Linked DNA regions of Oryctolagus cuniculus. Each later gene encodes a partner of the first gene's protein in a complex. Links are inferred from orthologs where the notes say so. Each region holds a gene or a part of one and is shown on either strand. Other genes may lie near its edges.

What was found.
Region 2: ARID1A (region 1) and SMARCD3 share a complex: the UniProt entries of both Homo sapiens proteins name them as parts of the neuron-specific chromatin remodeling complex. The link is inferred for Oryctolagus cuniculus from reciprocal best matches to the Homo sapiens genes ARID1A and SMARCD3.
Region 3: ARID1A (region 1) and ACTL6B share a complex: the UniProt entries of both Homo sapiens proteins name them as parts of the neuron-specific chromatin remodeling complex. The link is inferred for Oryctolagus cuniculus from reciprocal best matches to the Homo sapiens genes ARID1A and ACTL6B.
Region 4: ARID1A (region 1) and SMARCC2 share a complex: the UniProt entries of both Homo sapiens proteins name them as parts of the neuron-specific chromatin remodeling complex. The link is inferred for Oryctolagus cuniculus from reciprocal best matches to the Homo sapiens genes ARID1A and SMARCC2.

Annotation. Positions count from the first base shown.
Region 1 is NC_091438.1:144,806,568-144,811,176, reverse strand, and holds the start of ARID1A (AT-rich interactive domain-containing protein 1A), read left to right. Parts: upstream 1-1,431; 5' UTR 1,432-1,493; coding exon 1,494-2,663; intron 2,664-4,609. UniProt on the Homo sapiens protein: Involved in transcriptional activation and repression of select genes by chromatin remodeling (alteration of DNA-nucleosome topology).
Region 2 is NC_091438.1:22,579,215-22,584,091, forward strand, and holds the start of SMARCD3 (SWI/SNF-related matrix-associated actin-dependent regulator of chromatin subfamily D member 3), read left to right. Parts: upstream 1-1,904; 5' UTR 1,905-2,098; coding exon 2,099-2,176; intron 2,177-4,875; coding exon 4,876-4,877. UniProt on the Homo sapiens protein: Involved in transcriptional activation and repression of select genes by chromatin remodeling (alteration of DNA-nucleosome topology).
Region 3 is NC_091450.1:42,839,295-42,844,164, reverse strand, and holds the start of ACTL6B (actin-like protein 6B), read left to right. Parts: upstream 1-1,897; 5' UTR 1,898-2,018; coding exon 2,019-2,043; intron 2,044-2,452; coding exon 2,453-2,529; intron 2,530-2,722; coding exon 2,723-2,888; intron 2,889-3,177; coding exon 3,178-3,278; intron 3,279-4,870. UniProt on the Homo sapiens protein: Involved in transcriptional activation and repression of select genes by chromatin remodeling (alteration of DNA-nucleosome topology).
Region 4 is NC_091442.1:58,991,950-58,996,696, reverse strand, and holds the start of SMARCC2 (SWI/SNF complex subunit SMARCC2), read left to right. Parts: upstream 1-1,774; 5' UTR 1,775-1,879; coding exon 1,880-1,990; intron 1,991-3,886; coding exon 3,887-4,006; intron 4,007-4,605; coding exon 4,606-4,691; intron 4,692-4,747. UniProt on the Homo sapiens protein: Involved in transcriptional activation and repression of select genes by chromatin remodeling (alteration of DNA-nucleosome topology).

The DNA.
Region 1 (4,609 bases):
TGACAGAGCTGGGAGTTTGGATCTATTCTGATATTTTGACCCCATTGCTGCATTTGCTCACAATTTGACTTTTTTTTCTTTAAAGGCTAAGTAGACAGGAGGCAGCTTTGGAGACTCCACTTCTTTTTAAAGCTCCCCCACCCCCCACCCTCCGACGTTAAATGACCTGGGCAGTGTCCTCCCCTCTCGGTCTTTCAATTCTGTAAAATGGGGATAATCCCGACCTCGTGCCCCCGGGGACTTGTCAAGACCAGCTAATGAGGGCAGGGGAGTGGGAAAACGCAGAGTCTGAACAATGATCGCTCGGCCCTTGCAAAGGGGTTAGAAAGCAGGGCTCTCTCGGCTGAGTCTTTGGGGCCGGTTTGTAAAAAGGCTTTCAAGAAGAAAAGTGCTGTGGAGGTGCTAAGTAACAGCCAAGAGACCAGGCTCGCTGCCAGGGGGGTCAGGCCTGGGCCGAGGCGGCCGCGGTCTCGGGCTCTGGCCAATTTTGCAGGCGCGGGTAAAGTTCACGCTGCCCGCTCCCCACGGTGCGGCCGGGAGGGGACCGGCCGGGGATCGGCACGCCGGGAGGGAGGCGGCGCAGGCTCCGGAGGGGCGCGAGCTCCGGGCCGGGTTTTCCCCGAAGCCTTCGGCGGCGGTGCTGCCGAGCGAAAGCGGCCGAGGGCCTGCCGCCGCCGCGGCTCGCTCTCTTCCCCTCCTCCTTTGTGAGGGGAAGGGAGCGAGTCCATTCCGCGGCGGCACCCGCTCCGCGCTCCACTCCGGGTTTGCCAGGCGGCCGCGACGGCGCTGGGTAAAATGGCAGTGCTGAGCCTCGTGTCGGAGTGAGGGGGACTCGGAGGAGAGTGGGGCGCTCTAGCCGCTCAGTCCTGCCGCCCGCTTGCTCGCCCGCCCGCTGCCGCGCAGCAGCCGCGGCCGGAGCCGCGGCCGGGGAGGGGAGGCAGGGCGCCCGGCCCGGCCCGCGCGCGCCGACTCTGCCTCCCGGCGCCCCGGCTGCTGCCGCGCGCCCTCCAGCCCGCCCGTCCCGGGTCCCCCTCCCCCCGCTCCCTCCCTCCCTCCCCGCCCCCTCCCCCTCGCCTCCCTCCCTCCCTCCCTCCTCCTTTCTCCGGCAGCAGAAAGCGGAGAGTCACAGCGGGGCCAGGCCCTGGGGAGCGGAGCCTCCACCGCCCCCCTCATTCCCAGGCAAGGGCTTGGGGGGAATGAGCCGGGAGAGCCGGGTCCCGAGCCTGCAGAGCCGGGAGCAGCTGAGCCGCCGGCGCCTCGGCCGCCGCCGCCGCCGCCTCCTCCTCCTCCGCCGCCGCCAGCCCGGAGCCTGAGCCGGCGGGGCGGGGGGGAGAGGAGCGAGCGAGCGAGCGCAGCGCAGCAGCGGAGCCCCGCGAGGCCCGCCCGGGCGGGTGGGGAGGGCAGCCCGGGGGACTCGGCCCCGGGGCGGGGTGGGAGGGGGGGAGACGACGAAGACAGGGCCGGGTCTCTCCGCGGACGAGACAGCGGGGATCATGGCCGCGCAGGTCGCCCCCGCCGCCGCCAGCAGCCTGGGCAACCCGCCGCCGCCGCCGCCGCCGCCGCCCTCGGAGCTGAAGAAAGCCGAGCAGCAGCAGCAGCAGCGGGAGGAGGCGGGGGGCGAGGCGGCAGCGGCAGCAGCAGCAGCCGAGCGCGGGGAAATGAAGGCAGCCGCCGGGCAGGAAAGCGAGGGCCCCGCCGTGGGGCCGCCGCAGCCGCTGGGAAAGGAGCTGCAGGACGGGGCCGAGAGCAATGGGGGTGGCGGCGGCGGCGGAGCCGGCAGCGGCGGCGGGCCCGGCGCGGAGCCGGACCTGAAGAACTCGAACGGGAACGCGGGCCCTAGGCCCGCCCTGAACAATAACCTCACGGAGCCGCCCGGCGGCGGCGGCGGCGGCGGCGGCAGCAGCAGCGACGGGGTGGGGGCGCCTCCTCACTCAGCCGCGGCCGCCCTGCCGCCCCCAGCCTACGGCTTCGGGCAGCCCTACGGCCGGAGCCCGTCTGCCGTCGCCGCCGCGGCGGCCGCCGTCTTCCACCAACAACATGGCGGACAACAAAGCCCTGGCCTGGCAGCGCTGCAGAGCGGCGGTGGCGGCGGGGGCCTGGAGCCCTACGCGGGGCCCCAGCAGAACTCGCACGACCACGGCTTCCCCAACCACCAGTACAACTCCTACTACCCCAACCGCAGCGCCTACCCCCCGCCCCCCCAGGCCTACGCGCTGAGCTCCCCGAGAGGTGGCACTCCGGGCTCCGGCGCGGCGGCGGCCGCCGGCTCCAAGCCGCCTCCCTCCTCCAGCGCCTCCGCCTCCTCGTCGTCTTCGTCCTTCGCTCAGCAGCGCTTCGGGGCCATGGGGGGAGGCGGCCCCTCCGCGGCCGGCGGGGGAACCCCCCAGCCTACCGCCACCCCCACCCTCAACCAACTGCTCACGTCGCCCAGCTCGGCCCGGGGCTACCAGGGCTACCCCGGGGGCGACTACGGCGGCGGGCCCCAGGACGGGGGCGCCGGCAAGGGCCCGGCGGACATAGCCTCGCAGTGCTGGGGGGCTGCGGCGGCGGCAGCGGCGGCGGCGGCGGCCGCCTCGGGAGGGGCCCAACAAAGGAGCCACCACGCGCCCATGAGCCCCGGGAGCAGCGGCGGCGGGGGGCAGCCGCTCGCCCGGACCCCTCAGGTACACAGCTGAGCGGGGAGGGGGGCTGGGGCGAGCTGGGCCGGGCGGTGGGGGGGTGGGTGGCGGCTGCGGGGAGCAGGCCCCAGCCGTGGGCTCCGCTCGGTCCCGGGCCCCCACTGCTGGGGAGCTGCCATTGTCTGGCTCTTCTCTCTTAAAATGGCTGCCTGTCTGCCTTCTTCTCCTTCCCTCCTTCAGCCTTTGTGTGGGGCTTTTCCAGAGGTGTCTGCTGCCCGGCTCCCCCTCCCCTGGCCCCTGCGAACTCCGCGGGTCTTCAGGGGGGTGCGGGGCAGAGTGTGCGGGGAAGGGCCCGGCCTGGGGTGAGGGGGTGCCGGGGGCTCAGATCAGGGGTGTAAGCGGTGGTAGGAGCCCCGGAAGGCGAGCGAGCGTCCCCCTGCTCGCCTGCCGCTCCTCTCTGTGCCCCCTGCTTGTCTCTAGGCCGTCCCCCGTCTGTGCTCTCGAGGAGGGGCCCCTCGGGCCCGGGGGACCTCGCGGGAGGGTAGGGGCCTTCTTGGGGGCAGCTAGAGGCCGGCTGCGGTTCACCCCGGGCAGCCCGGCCATCGCCTGTCTTGGTCTCCGCCGGCCCAGTGGCCTGGGCTTCTCCCTGGAAGCGCTGGTAAACAGCTGAGTGATTGGAGTAGTAAGTGCAGATTGCTTTGGTTTGGGATTTGAATTATGGAGGTAAAATCCTTCTGTCAAAGCCAGGAGACAGTTGGTCTTAGGTTGACATCCTATCTGTGATCTGATTGGCTCCCCATCTCCTGCTCTTGGCCATTTATAATTGCCTCTGATGTAATGGTACAACAATCCTGATGAGCTCATAAACTTTTACACTCTGCTTTTCTGCCAGTGATAACCCAAACCATCGCTGCCACTATCAGCCTTTTTTATTCCAGAGCTGAAATTGGCTGTGACCTTGAGGAGGGAGGTTTAAGCCGCAATACTGTATCAGCAGGAGCAGAGCCCCAGACAGGCTGCCCTTGTTACATTGTGCCTGAAACAAAAGAGGAGGCCATGGCATTTTGCTTGTACCTTGGATTTATTTTGCTTGTTATATTTTATGCAGCCTGAAATAGATTCTGTGTTGTCCGAACAGTAGCTGAGTTTCTTCTCTACAATGGGTTTGCTGTTTGTTTTGGTTTTGTGACTTTCCTGATGGGATAAATGACTTCTTTGATGACTGTGAAGATGCATTTATCTTGAGTAATTCTGACACTGTTTGCAGAATTGAAATTATTTTGCTGTTTGGTTTTTTTTTAATTGAGTGGCAAATGTGGGACCTTTGTGGGGAGGGGGCATTTTTGGTTATCACTGTAATCCTTTTTAAAATGGGGAGCTTTCTTTGGGAATTTCATGTTAGATTCAAGTGTTCTGTTTTAAGCAAGGCTGGCCTCATTCTTTGTTTACATGTTGAATCTTGTTAACAGTTTTCTTTTGTTAATTAGACTTCGGGAGAGCAACTTAAAGAGAAACTGGTGTCTTTCATGATGTTGAGGGACTTTCTCCTGAAGGCTTGCTTTGGCGAAATTATTGTCTCTTCCTGGAATAACAAAAAGGCTAGTTTTTTGTTTTTGCCATCACTCATTTGGAGCTTTGAGATAGAGACTGGTCAGTTTTTTTTGCTTTGCATTTCAATGTATGTTCTGTTCCCACCCCCCCTTCTTCCAAGATACAGACATATGACCTATAGATTTGCCTAGACATTTCCAACGTGTAGGTACCGTTTTGTACACTCTATTTTGTTTTCATTTTGCTTTTCTTCCTGCTCAGCAGTGCCTTGGCCAGGAATATTGGGTAGTCGATGGAGTTGCGTATCTTTTTTCAAGGAGGGGAAAGCCCTCTTATGCACCCACTCCCATGTGTACTTTTGTGCTAAGAAATCAACATTTTGCTTAGTTGGCCTAATCAACTTTGTTCTTTCCTCATCCTAGAACTGCTTTTTACACTTG
Region 2 (4,877 bases), about 120 Mb from region 1:
TGGGGAAAGCAAACCTAACACACAAAGAAGCACAGGGCACATCATGAGGCAGACATCAGTCCAGGGCCAATCCAAGGGGCAGAGCAGACACTGATGGGCATTTGGAGAAGAGAAAGATCCGTGCACATGGGTGATGCCAGGGAAGGCTTCCTGGAGGAGGAGGGGCCTGAACCGTGCTTTAAGGGTTGGGTGTGGACAGGCAGAAGGGAGGGGTCTTCCAGGAGAAAGAAGAGCAGGAACAGGAGCTTAGAAATGGGGGTGAGTGGAGGGGGATGAGGTTAGCGGGCTGATGGGAGCAAATCTTCACGCATTACCACCAGCCACTTCATGGCCTGTGGCTGACCACTAAGCTACCCCATGGCCGGGGCTTCTCTGTGTGTGGGTGGTGGTGGGCAGTGGCCTGGGGTGAAGCCCTGGTAGGAAGGGGGAATTTCTGGGTCCCCCCCACCAGGCCAGAGGTAGAGCCTGAAGCAGAGACCCTCTCTGCCTTTCAGTAGACAGTGGGAACCTACATGGGCGCTCACAGCCCCGCACGCAGTCGGGGCCCAAGGGAAACCAGGCTGCAGGCAGAGTCTGGGCAGAGCTGTCCCGCGTTCTTTGTCCTGAACTCCCCAAGGCAGGAGGGCCAGGACCCGCAGGGCAATGCTGGGTCTTCAGGGCCCAACTTCAAGTAGGTGTCCCGTTGCCCCGCCCTCACCTGTGTTGACACCGCAGCCCCAGCAGGCCCTTAAACTTGACCCTCTGTCGTCCCAAAGCCCACGGGCCCCTCCTCCGGGAGGAGGAGATAGGGGCGTGGCCTTGGGGCATGGGCGGGGCCAGGGCGCCCAGTCTGGGGATCTCAGGATTCGCCCCTCCTCTTTCCTGTCTCTCCTCCACCCCAGGGACTGCCAGCTCCCTGCACACCGCCCCTTCGGGGGCTCGCTCTCACCCCACCCTGCGCCCCGGCTTCCTCTGGGATGCTGAGGCGGGCCCGACCCCTCCGGGGTCCGCACCCCTAGGCCCTCAAGCCCCGCTTGTCTCCTGCTTCCCAGACGCCCCCACCGAAGCCCCCAGCCCGGCCCTGCGCCGCCTCGCCCCGCGTTTCCCCCTCGCTGCGCTCTCTGAGCCCCGTCCCCGTCCCTCCTTCCGAAATACTTGCCCTCCTGCCCTCACTTTCTCACACAGAGGCAAACAAAGACCCACATACCCAGAAATAGCCTCGCGCGGAGCGGAGCGCGGCGCAGGCCGCGTCCCGGCCCCACGCACGCGCGCAGGCCTGGCGGCTCCCGCGCAGCGAGGCCCCCGGGCGAGGCGTCCGTCCGTGCGCCCTCGTCAACACCCGCAGCCGCCGCGCCGGGCCGCAGGGTGCGGACGCCGGCCGCCAGACAAGGGCACAACACACACACACACACACACACACACACAGCCGTGCGCGCAGGGAGCGCCTCCTCCCCGGCACACCCGGCGCGGCCGGCCTCGGCTCCCCCCCGGATTCCTGCCCGCGAATGTTTCCCTACTTGGCCTGCCAGGTCTCTGGGGAAAGGGCCTCAGAAATGCAGCCGGAGCCTCTCGGGGAGGGAAGAAAGTTGGAACTGACTGTTCCCTGCCTGGCCCTGCCGGCGAATTCCCTAACCGAGCAGCTATTTGTGGCGAGAGCCCGGGTGGCCGGCGAGCCCCCCGCCAGCTCCCCGCGCGGCCCTCGGGCGGCTCCGGGCTGCAAGCGCCGCTACCCTGCGCCCAGGCGGGGCCGGGCTCGCCGCGCACCTCGCCGCTTATCTGCGCTGTTTGGACAGCGCGGGCTGCAAAGGCCGGCGTCCCCGTCCCCGCCGAGTCAACAGGCAGACCCCGGGCCGCCGGACTATTTCTGTCTTATCAGTGCAGGAATGCGGCAGCCGCGGCGGCGGCGGCGGCAGCGGCGGCGGGCGGGCGGCGGCGGCGGCGGCGTGGGCCGTGGGCCGTCAGGGCAGCCCTGAAGGGGCCCCCTCCCCACTCCGCTCGAGTAGAAGTGTGAGAGAGCCCAGCAGGACTCAGAGGGGAGAGTTGGAGGAAAAAAAAGGCAGAAAAGGGAAAGAAAGAGGAAGAGAGAGAGAGAGTGAGAGGCGCCGCTGAGCCCACCCCGATGGCCGCGGACGAAGTTGCCGGAGGGGCGCGCAAAGCCACGAAAAGCAAACTTTTTGAGTTTCTGGTCCATGGGGTGGTGAGTGGGGGAAAGTTAGCGGGGGAGGGTGAGCGAGCTGGCTCGGGCTGAATGGAGGGATGGCCGGGAGGGGCCGGGAGGGCGCTCCCGCGCGCCCACCCCTCCGGCGGGGGCGCCGCGGCCACAGCCCAGCGCCGGGACCGTGCCGGCGCCCTGGCGTGCCAACACGTCGTCAGGCGGCGGGCCGGGGATGGGCGCGCGCGGCGGGGAAGGCAGGCGACTGCGCGGGCTCTTGTCAGGGGCGGGCGTGGGACTGGGGGACTCCCCCCACCCAGGTGGGGGTCCCCTTCTGTGGCCGACATGTTGTCTGGGTTCCCCAGCGGGCCCAGGTGTTACCCCTTCCCCGGGGGTGGGGGCGGGGGACGGGGACGCGGCGCAGCCCTGTTGGGTTGTCTGTTCACATCCGTTGGGACGGTGTCACTCTGTTTCCAGAGCGTGGAGCAGGTGACCCTGGAGGCACTGTGGGCGCGAAAGCCCTCTGGCTGAGCAACCTCTGTATCCTGGCAGGAGGGCACTGGGGCATTTTCGGCGTAGCCCCTGCCATCAGGGTCAGGGAGAGGCTCCCTCTAGGGACAGACTCCAGGTGGAAGGAGTCCGAGCGTCCCCTTGGCAGACGCCTGTCCTTAATATCTCCAAGGTGTGAAGAAAGGGCCGGAGTCGGGGACGTGAGGCCTAGGGATCCCAGGGACAGGGCAGCCCCAGAGGCACGTGGGAAGCCCCAGGCAGCCTCAGCAACCCGAGGCAGGGCACGGAAGAGGCCTGAGCTGGGTGGCTCGGGGGCCACGCTGGGTGTGGAGACGCGAGAGGGGACGACGTCAGGTTCACTGCGGCCACATTTGGCCGTGACCCCCCAGGAGGGCACCTTCTTGGTGAGGGAGGCCAGAGTCCCTGAATCTTGGCCTGTTGTGGGGGTGGTGCTGGTGGCTGGCACAGCTCCCTGGGGGCCCTGGAAGCCTCCCAGCAGAGCAGGCAGTATCCCTGGCCTTGACAGAGAGGGAGCCCAGCTGATAAAGCCAAGGGGGTTCCTGGGTCAGCCTGGCCTCCAGCGCTGGGCATCTCTGGGGTCGACTTTCCAGGGCCTGCATGTCCACCAGCTGCATCACCGGTCCTAGCCTTGCTGCTGCGGGGAGTTCCTTTGAAAAGGCCCAGCTAGCAGGGAGAGAGGCTCGACATGGGTCTCTCTCTCTCTCTCTCTCTCTCTCTATATATATATATATATGGCCAACTTAATGCTTCAGTTCTTAGGTGGCTCGGCGCCCCACCATCCCCACTCCCAGTGCCCCATCTAGGCTGGCGGAGAATGGTCACCAGCTAGCTCCATTCTGGGTTGCCACCCTGGAAGCATGAGTGACAGGGTCAGGTGGGGTGGGGGGAGGCAGACACATGGTCGGGCAGGTTTCACTGCTGGAAAGATGGACAGAGACAGCTGCTGGCTGGGAGTGGGAGGGCTTTAGGGGCAAAGTCAGGGGCAGCATCGGGGCGTCTCCTTGGGCCTAGGGTGAGATAATGGAGTGGATAAATGACAACAGGGGCCCCTTGCTCCCCAAGATTCCTGCTTTTCCCAGTCCCCATCCCACCCACTCCCCTGCTGCTACACAAGCCCCTGAAACCCTCATATCCCTCCTGAACTCTGGACAAGTGGCAGTAGCACTTCACTCATTTGCATCTCATTTACACCCCATCCAACCACCTAGGGGCACATGACCCACCTCATCTCCCTCTCCACCACCCTCTTTGAAACCTGGCTTCACTGGGGTGGGGGTGAGCAGTGGAGGAAGCCTGCTGGGTGTGAAGCCTTGGCTGATGGCTGATGGGTGCGGGTGGACACGCTGCTTCCTTTGACCTGGCCCAGGCCCCCTGGTAGCTCACCTCCAGCCCAGCTCCCCCTCCTCCCAATCAGAATCCTGGCAGGCTGTGACGTCAGCCCCTCAGGTGCCTTTGCCCTTGCTCTGCCTTCAGCCTTCACCCGGGGAGCAAATCTTGGGGTCCAGCTTAGTTGCTGAAGCCTCTGGGTGTGGAGTCAGCTGGAGGGGATGGAGTTTGGGATGCAGAGGTCCAAAAGCAGGGCGTGGAGAGAGGAGGGGGCAGCTGAGGAGGAGCCGGTGCAAGGCAGAACAGCTGGAGGAGTGGAGACCAAGAGGGAGGGAGCCGTAAGGAAAGTCAGAGCAGGGAGCTCAGCCCCTAACTTCAACGAAGCCGCAAACGGCAAAACGCTGCGGCCCTCAGGAACCCGGAGCCCTTCAGGTGTTGTCCTAGCCAAGATGAGCTGCGTGACCTTGGCGAGGTCGCCGTTCTCCTTGAGCCACAGTTGCCTCGTCTGTCAAGTGGGAATGAGAGGACCTGTTCACTGAGTCTGGCAGAGGCGCGTGAGGGTGTGAACCTCCTTTGGAAGGTGGAAAGGCGCCATTGCCAGTTACTGTGCGTTTTTGCGGTACCTTCCGCAGCTCCAGGCTCGGCAATGCCCTGGACAATTGCCTGGCTTCAGTTAGCTTCCTGCAGCGACACGCCAAGCCCCCTCCGCCGAAGCCGCACCGATCCGGTGCCTCTGCCCCTCCCACCCAGCGCTCGGCGCTCAGGGTCACCAGCCGGGGGTCTTGGGGTGGGGGGGAAGGGAGACGCCGACTCGCTGCGCCTGGAGCCAGGGTTCCTGGTCTGACCCGCGGGTGCCGGTTTCTGCTTCACCCCCGCCCCACCCCCAGCG
Region 3 (4,870 bases), on another chromosome or scaffold:
GTCCCGGCTGCTCCTCTTCCAGTCCAGCTCTCTGCTGTGGCCTGGGAAAGCAGTGGAGGATGGCCCAAGTCCTTGGGCCCTGCACCCGCATGGGAGACCAGGAGGAAGCACCTGGCTCCTGGCTTCGGATCGGCATAGCTCCAGCTGTAGTGGCCATTTGGGGGGTGAACCAACGGAAGGAAGACCTTTCTCTCTGTCTCTCCCTCTCACTGTCTGTAACTCTACCTGTCAAATAAATAAATAATCTTAAAAAAAAAAAAAAAAAAGAAACCTAGGGACATTCTTAGGGCCCAGTGCTTACAGAATCCAGGTCCTTGATTCTGGCATGGGACTGGATATCAGCAGCCTATGGTCAGGGACAGCAGAGCTTGGAGGGAACACAGAGGTCACATCTCACTGGCTGAGAAGAGATGTGGCTCCACCCCCAGCTCCGCCCCCGCTGGGCTATGTGGCCAAGACAGCACCCTGCCTCCATGTGGGGCAACCCCTGCAAAACGCAGGGCTTGGACTCGTGACTGGTAAGGTTTCTTCTGACTGGGAAAGTTCCTGACTCTGAGACGGCCGGTGGAGATGGAGGTTGAAGGGGAGTGGAACTGACTTGGGAGGAAGTGAGGCAACATTTCTCAGTGTTCAGCAGACAGCATGCAGAGGATCAGCATGAACAGAATCTCTTTCACCCCTTCAAACCCCCACCCCCAGCATTTGGAAGATGAAGAGATACAGGCTATGGGAGCTTAGCGGGCTCACGCAGTTCATGCAGGCCTCACATTATAGAGAAGTCAGTGACTGGCCTGTGGTCACTTGAGAAAATGTCAATCTCCTAGCTGCTGGGTCAGCTCCTTCCCTCCCCTCCAGCTCACTCCTCCCACTGACACCTGCAGGGCTCCAGTCTGGGGAGCCAGACCTGGACTCGGAACCCACCGCGGGTATGCGCAATGCCACTGTCACCAGGAAGTAATGAATGAGCCAGCTCAGCCCATCCTTTGGTTGAGGGAAGAGCTGGGTCTTTTCCACAAGGGGCAACCAGTGAGCAGAGAACCCTCGGGGACATGCCGCAGTCACACTACCCTCTTCCTGTGCCATTTCTGTTCTCACAGCTCCCAAACCCCAAACAAGCAGGTGGGAGTGCAGAAGTGCCCCAACACATTATATTCACGTGTGCATATGCACATGCACACAGCCGACACATTATGTTCACATGTGCATATGTACATGCACACACACACACACACGGCCACACTGGCCAGCACAGGCTCAGAGTCTGACTCAGGCAGTCAGAGCTGCTGCTTCACTTCTGCTATCCAAACCTGCTATGCTGGTAGTGCTGGGAGCCCAGAAGAACCCAGGGCCTACCAGAAACTGGACACCGTGATCATTGCCTCCCAGGGAGAACAGGCGGTTGAGCAGAGAGGGAAGGGTAAGGACAGGCCAGCTGAGTGCCTGTGTGTGCATGTGTGCACGTGTGTAGGTGGAAGGCCCAGGAGAGGAAAAGAGGCCATGAGGGAGACCAGGGTGGGAAGACACGGGGAAGAGATGGAGACACACCCCCTCGGGTCGCGCCCTCTCTGTCTTCCCTTCTACTCCCGGGAGACGTCCTTCAGGCCTAGGTGTGACAGAAACCTTGTGATGGTGGCACTCCCCCCAACACACCCCACAGCCCATTTGAAAAGCTACGGCAGCAGGGTCCCCATCAGTCACCCTGTGGGATCCTGGTCTCGGGGAGGACAAGGTCTCCCTCGTTCTCCTACTCTCCTCTCTGCCGCCCATTGCTTAGGGCTGGTCTTCCTGGGGTCCTCCCCGCCGCCGAGCGCGAAGGTGTCTGCGCCTTTAAAGCGGCGGCCCCCGGCCGGGTTATTGTCTCGCCTCGCAGCCAATCGCCGGAGCCGTTGGGGGCGGGGGACCCGGCCTCCCGATTGGCCGCCGCGCGCCCCGCCCGCCCGGGATCCCGGGAGCTGTCCGGCCGCCGCGGTGCTGATCCCGCCGCCGCCCACGGGCCGCGAGCCGCACCGAGGGGCACTATGAGCGGGGGCGTCTACGGCGGAGGTGAGCCGGTCCCGGGCCTCCGGGGCCTCGCGCGCAGCCCTGCGCCCCGTATCCGCGCCACCCAAGCTCGGGGCACCCCGGGGCCTGTCACCTCGGCGCTCGAGCGAGTCCGACCCCAGGTTTGGGTCCCGTGCCACCCCTACTTTCTGTCTTCCCGGGACGCCCCAGGCGCGCCGGGCCCAGCCTCTCCACTATCCAGCCCTTCTCCGCCCGACCCCTGGCTCCGTCCTTCCCAGCCCCGAGAGTGGCCTGAACAAGGCCACCGGGTAGGAGGGAACTCTGGCGGCTTGACCCCCACTCCAAGGCCCCCACTCGGACTGTGGCTCTGCCCTGTCCCCCTTCCTCTCGGATCTGTCCGCGAGGACAGAGTTTGGGGAAGGTCTCCTCACCTGCTTGTCTCCCCGCACAGATGAGGTGGGGGCGCTGGTCTTCGACATTGGCTCCTTCTCGGTCCGCGCCGGGTATGCTGGGGAGGACTGTCCCAAGGTGAGACTTTCAGATCTCTTCCCAAATCCTCCCCAGGCTCGCCACTAACCCAGGGCTCTCCCAGCCGAGCCCACACGCTCTGCTGAGCAAGTGTGGGAGAAGAGCCAGGGGCGGGCTGAGGACCCTGCCCTGGGGCTGAACGGGTAACCGGGTGATCTTCCTTTCTCTGCCCATGCTGCCCCCTCCCACCCAGGCTGACTTCCCCACCACGGTGGGGCTGCTGGCCGCGGAGGAGGGGGGCGGGCTGGAGCTGGAGGGGGAGAAAGAGAAGAAGGGGAAGATCTTCCACATTGACACCAATGCCCTGCACGTGCCTCGGGATGGAGCGGAGGTCATGTCGCCCCTCAAGAACGGCATGAGTAAGGGCCCCCCCCCCCGACCCTGAGTCAGACCAGGAGCCCACTCCCAGCCCGTGGGACTCTGTCTCACAGCCACGGAGTCCTCCTCACAACTGTCCAAGTCCCAGGGACCTCCTCAGAGCCCCCTGTAGCTGCCTGGTTCCCAGCCCAGGAGCCCCAAATTCCCGGGAGTGGGGAAGGGGCTTTTCCTCTGGAGTTGAACTCCCCCTCCCCTGGACTTGGCGTCTCTCCCTGCTTCCTTTCCCGTCGCTGACCCCTCCCCGCCTCACCTGTGTCTTTCTGGCCCCAGTTGAGGACTGGGAGTGCTTCCGAGCCATCCTGGATCACACCTACAGCAAACACGTCAAGTCTGAGCCAAACCTGCACCCCGTGCTCATGTCAGAGGCCCCGGTGAGTGCCCTGGGGCCCCAGCACAGTCTTCCCACCCCTTACCTGTCCTTTCTCAGACAGTCCTTCCAGCCTTGTCATCTTGGGCCACCTGTCTTCCTCTTGCTCTACCTCTTTCTCTTCCTGCTCTATAAGCCCCTCTCCTCTCCAGTTCTTTTTTAATCCTTTAACTTGAAAATAGTTGTAGTACATATGGTCGATTTGCTTTGTAAAACATGTTAAGAAGAAACACTGCAGTTCTTGCCGCCTCTTCCATTTCCCCTTTTCCAAATGCCATTGCTTTTCTCCCTGTTATCTTTTTTTTTTTTTTTTTTGTATTTCTTTCCGTATCTCCCAATATCACACTTACATTGCTGTTTGCAGGTTTTCTATATTAGGCATCATCTAAGAATTTCCTACTAGAAAAAAGAGCATTGAGCTCTCTCCTCCTCTAGCCTATATCACACATACTTCTCATTCCCCACCTTTAAGTACAGTTCTGGCTTAGACTTCCTGAAAGATCAGTATTCACTATTTAGCCTCCTGTTACTATGTATGCTAATCAGGGCTGAGCTGGGGAATCCATGATCGCTTTTCTGTTTCTTGAGTGGCTTTAAACAATCTGATTTTAGCTCTCCTTTCACCCCCACGTCCAGAGCCAGCTGACAGCGCCCATTTCTAGTTCTCTCAGGGTTCCAAGCTCAGTACAGGTTGTTCCTGGCTTTTCCCAGTACTGCCTTACAGCATTTGTAAATCTGTTAAGTCAGTTACTACTCACCGATCTCATCCTTAACTTTCAAAGTTTGTTGCTGGTTGCTCTTTTCTTATTTTCTTTTTTAGATTTTTTTTTTTTTTTTTGGACAGGCAGAGTTAGACAGTGTGAGAGAGAGACAGAGAGGAGAAAGGTCTTCCTTCTGTTGGTTCACCCCACAAATGGCCGCTGCGGCCGGCACACTGCGCTGATCCGAAGCCAGGAACCAGGTGCTTCCTCCTGGTCTCCCATGCGGATGCAGGGCCCTAGAACCTGGGCCATTCTCCACTGCACTCCTGGGCCACAGCAGGGAGCTGGACTGGAAGAGGAGCAACCGGGACAGAACTGGCACCCCAACCGGGACTAGAACCAGGTGTGCCGGCGCCACAGGCGGAGGATTAGCCTAGTGAGCCGCAGCACCAGCCACTCTTTTCTTCTTTTCACAACCTGAGGCACTACTCTTTCTCAGGTGAAATTCACATGACATAAAATTCACCTTTTTAAGTCAATCATTGAGGGGCAGGCATTTGGCATAGTGGTTACGACGCCACTTGGGATGCCTGCATCCTACATCAGAGTGCCTGGGTACAAGTCGCAGCTCTGCTTCTGATTCCGGCTTCCTGTTAGTGTGCACCCCTGGGAGGCAGCAAGTGATGACTCAGTTATTTGGATCCCTGTCCCCCGTGTGGAAGACCTGGATTGAGTTCCTGGCTTCTGGCTTCAGCCTGGCCCAGTCTTGGCTGTTGAAGGATTTGGGGGAGTACATCAATGCATGGGAGCTCTGTCTGTCTCTCTCTCTCTCCATATTTCTGAGAAAAAAGCAATTCCATGATTTAAAAAAATTATTAATATAAAGAGAACAGAT
Region 4 (4,747 bases), on another chromosome or scaffold:
CTCCACCCACTGTGGGCATTTATGGGAGTGAACCAGCAGTTGGGAAAGCTGTCTGCCCGACTTCATTTAAAAAAATAAAAATAAAAAAAAGACGGGGAGACCGTGGGATAGTGGTAAGGATGAGGGGCGGGGGCAGGGGTGAGAGTGTTGTGGCCTGGGCAGCGGCATGGGGGGGTGGGCGTGAGCTCTAAGGTGCGCATGTGTAGAAAGCTCTTGGCGCCCCTGCGCTATCGTGTCCTTCTTGAAGATGCCGTTATGCAGGAAATAAAGTACATAAAGAGCATCCTCAACGAGTCCCCTAGCTCTTCCCCAGTCATGTGAGGGGCTGGGAAGAGCTGGGTGAGGGGAGCAGAGAGGTCGGAGAGTGACTTCCTAGCGCGGTTAATACACACGGAGGACTTGCAAGAGTACCCGGTACATGACGGGCACCCAGTAAAAAGTGACAGCTCTCTTCGCACACCTGGCTCCAGGTAGGTGTGCTGTGCTGTGCTGTGCTGTGCCCCGGGATACCTGAGGTATAGCACAAGGAAATGCCAAGCCTACGACTTCTGGTGACGAAAATCACCAGAGGCGCGCTCTTTTCGTGGAAATTCCGGGTTTGGCTATTTATTGCACGCCAGGCACTCACATTCCCAAACAAAAACCTTTCTTCTACCACATTTCGCTAATCTCCTCCCAAAAGCAAAACAAAACAAAACGCGTGCTCAAAGCTCCGCCGGCAAAGCGCGAGGTGCCGAATCCGCCAGCGCCTCGCCGAAATCCGCTTTCTGAGCTCACCCCCACCCCCTCCCACAGCCCGGGGGTGAGCCCTTTCAGCTTCCCTCCAAAGACAGAAAGGGGAAGTGCAGGAAAGACACGTGCGAGGGCTGGGGTTCCTTTCTGCATGTTGCAAAGGGGGGGGAAAAAACGCAACCGTCACGAACAGGATTCGAACCTGTGCGGGGAAACCCCATTGGATTTCGAGTCCAACGCCTTAACCACTCGGCCACCGTGACTCCCAAAACCGTTCCTCGCCGCGCGCTTACAGGAGGGGTCCGCACTGCGCCGGGGAGAGCGCGCGGCGCCCGGAAGCGGCCCCCGGCCGGGCGCGCACACCGCGGGCCTCCCACCCCTCGCCCCTTACCTCTCGTCCACGTCGCTCAGAGAAGAGCGGGTGGGCCGAGTGACCCGGACAGGCAGGATCCCCTGCCTATAGAGAAGTGTTAGGGTCTCAAGGAGCGCAAAGCTACATGGAGGGCGATGGCGAGGCCTGTGGAGGAGGCGCTGAGGGGAGGGACTGGGTCCCCAGGGCGGCGGCGGGGGGCTTCTCGGGAGAAGAAGTGAGAAGGAGCTACCGGGTGGGACGAGGCGCGAGGCTGAGGGAGACTCGGTGAGAGTTGAGAAGGGGAGCTCCTGGGAATGCGTGAAAGGGAGACACTCAGGGATCACGGGCTCCTCGGCGGGGCTGGAAACGCGCAAGGGGAGGGCACTCCGGGCTGCGCGTCCCGGTGGGGTAGGAGAAAGGGGTCCACTGCGGGGCCCAGAGGCCAGAAAGAGGGAACGGGCTTCGCGTCGGGTAGAGAACGGCTTTAGGAGAGTGGCGCCCCCTCCGGGAAGCAGCCAGCTCCCCGGATGCTCCCGCGGCGGCCGCCGCCCCTGTCAGGGAGGCCACCCGAGTCGGCCCAGCGCCGGGCCCTCCGCCGCCGCCGCGGCCGCCGCACCAGGCCTGCCGGCAGGGGGCGCTGCGCGGGCCGGGGCCGGCCTAGGCGGCGGGAGGCGGCGGCCGCGGCGGCGGGAGGCGGCGGGAGGCGGGCGGAGGAGGAGGCGGAGGAGGCGGGAGCTGAGCTGAGCGGGGCGGGCGGCGGTGGCGGCGGCGGCGGCGGGGCCCGAGCCCGAGAAGATGGCGGTGCGGAAGAAGGACGGCGGCCCCAACGTGAAGTACTACGAGGCCGCGGACACCGTGACCCAGTTCGACAACGTGCGGCTGTGGCTCGGCAAGAACTACAAGAAGGTACGCGGGCAGGGCCGCGCGGGGTCCGGGGGCGGGACAAAGGCCCCGCGGCCCCGCGGCCCCCCGGGGTCCTGCCCACCCTCCAGCCGCCCTGGCCCCTCCCCCGCGGCCTCCCGGACAGCGCCCCGCGGGCCCGCGCCCCTCCCCCAGCCTCTCGCACCCCCACCCCGGCCGCGGATCCCAGCCCCCGCCCTCACGGCTGCGCCCTCTGCCCCTTGTTTTTCTCCGCTGCCCCGGTGCCGGCAGCCCACCCGCCCCCTGAGCCGTCGCCTTCTCTGCTTTTCCGGGGGGAGACGACCGGCCTAGGGTGGGCCGGGTGCTGAGCGGGCTCCCTCCCCGCGGCCCCGCGTGCCCGCCCCGGCTCCCCACGGAGCCAGGTAGCGGCGGGGCCGAGGCCTCTCCGGTGCTTTGTGTGTGTCCGGAGAGAGATGAGCGAGGCAGCGGGGTAAACAGCCGCGGGGCCCCGAAAGAGGTCCCCACCCCGGGATCACCTGTCTCCCTCCATCCGAAGGGCAACAAAACCTCCCAGGGAGACGGGGTCCGGGAGCTCCTGGGCTTCACAATGAAGTCACCCCACAGCCCAGCCTGGCGCTGCCCGGGGCTTGGGGTCCAGAGGCTTGGATCAGCTTTATAGCCCTAGCCCCTCACCCCCCTAGCCTGTAACGGAAATCCTAAGGTAGCCAACAAAAAGGTTCCAGAAGCCTCACCTGTCTTGGGTGTCTTTGTCTTGGGCCTGGTGCTTCCCTGGAGATGGGCTGCCCGTGTCCCTGTTCACTCAGCTCCAGTTGAGGATTCTTCCTGGCTTGCGTTCAGCACCCGGGGTCTTCCTGCACACCTCTGTGGCCTGTCAGAAGTGGGATGGATGGTTTAGGAGGGCCTCCCTAGCCGTGGTTCTGAGCGTGGCCCTGCACGGAGTGGGGTCTCCCTGGGTGTCAGAATCCTGACAGCTGCTGAGTCTGTGGCTTGCCTGCAGCCCAGCGTGGGGCTCTGGTTCCCAGGCTTTACCTCTGACCTTTTGGAGGGAGATGAGTTAGGGGCCTAGGGCCCTGGGGGGAGAATTGACAGCCTGTGACCCGGTTCAGCTTTCCTGCTCTTTGTCATCCACCTTCCCGTTCTGTGAGCTCCTTCTACCTCCCACTGAGTAGTGCTGTCTGCCCTGTGATTAGGGTGGAGGAAACAGGGGTCAGAAGGTAAAGAGAGAGTTAGCCTCCTGGCTCTGAGTTCAGTTAGGATGGCAGGCTGGGATGCTGATAGTGTTCACAGGAGGCCTAGGGCTGCCTGGCTCGGGTCCGGTTTCCTCGGAAAGGGTAGATGATGTTTCACAAGCTGGGGAGGAGTGGGCTCTCCTGTCTCGGAAGACATCGACGCCCGGTTCCTAGCAGAAGCACAGCTCACATGTTCACTCTTGGGCCGCCGGCCTATCTTCTCTTCTCTGCACCTTTTCCTATTAGACTACATTAGCGGGGAATCGTGGCCTCCCTCAGTTTCCCCAAAAACTGCGCTGTTGTCTTGCTTACAGCTTGGAAGGTATTGCTTCCAGAACCTGAACTCCACAAACCTTCAGGATTTTACAGCCCTCAGTGCTGTTGGCTGGAGATCAGGTGCCAAGATAACAGGGTCTGGCAACTCAGATTTCAAGGAAGAGTCCTTGGAAATTTCCCTCACCCACAACACCCTGCACTGGCAGCCACAGCTGGTGGCGGCAGAATTTCAACTTCCTGGTTAGGGGTTTCCAGGGCCACCCTTCCACCATTTTCTTTATAGGGACGAAAACACGTGGGGGAGAAAAGCACTATTTTCTCTGCCCCGGCTTCTTCCAGCCCCTAGGGAAGAAATTTGGAGGTGGTAGACAATTTATCCGGGGTCTGTTTCCCTTTGCTTTCTCCGTTCCTCTAGTATATCCAAGCTGAACCACCCACCAACAAGTCGCTGTCTAGCCTGGTTGTACAGTTGCTACAATTTCAGGAAGAAGTTTTTGGCAAACATGTCAGCAATGCGCCACTCACTAAACTGCCGGTGAGTGCAGAAGCCTCGAGTCCTCCCACCTGGCGTGGGAGGGATTTGTGAATTTTGTCATTCTTGAGATTTGGGTTCTTTCCTGCCCCCTGTGTCCCCTGCTCAGGATGTGACTGACCTGGCCTGGTCCCCAGGTTACCATGCCCATGCCCTTTGTTTTCGTAACACTTTGTGCAACAAGTTATCTCGGAGCACTGTGGGCTCCGTCCCAGTCTCTCCTGGCAGGGTTAAAAGGCCTAAGATCTGGATTTGCACAGGTTTCTTCTGTGTTAGATCCTGGCTCTACCACTTGAGGGCCCTGTGATCCTGGGCAGCCTTTGTGAGTCTTGGTTCCTTCATGTGTAGATGGGATTAACATGCCTACCTTGTGGGGTTCCTGCCAGGGTGAATGCGGTAACTCAGTATTAAGTGCTTGGTACAAGCTGGCGGGTACTGTTCTCCTTCCCCACCCCAGAGCACCCACTACAGTTACACAAGGGGTGAAGAATTCTAGCTTTGCAAGGGAACTCGGTTTGACCCGGGGTTTTATGAAAGAATTAGTAAGTGATAAGAGAATTTATGATATAACTCGCATGCTTCTCACTGTCTCCATTCTGTAGATCAAATGTTTCCTAGATTTCAAAGCAGGAGGCTCCCTGTGCCACATACTTGCAGCTGCCTACAAATTCAAGAGTGACCAGGGATGGTGAGACCCTTCATACTCAGCTTCTTACGTTAAGTTTACAGGGCACCCGCCTTGGC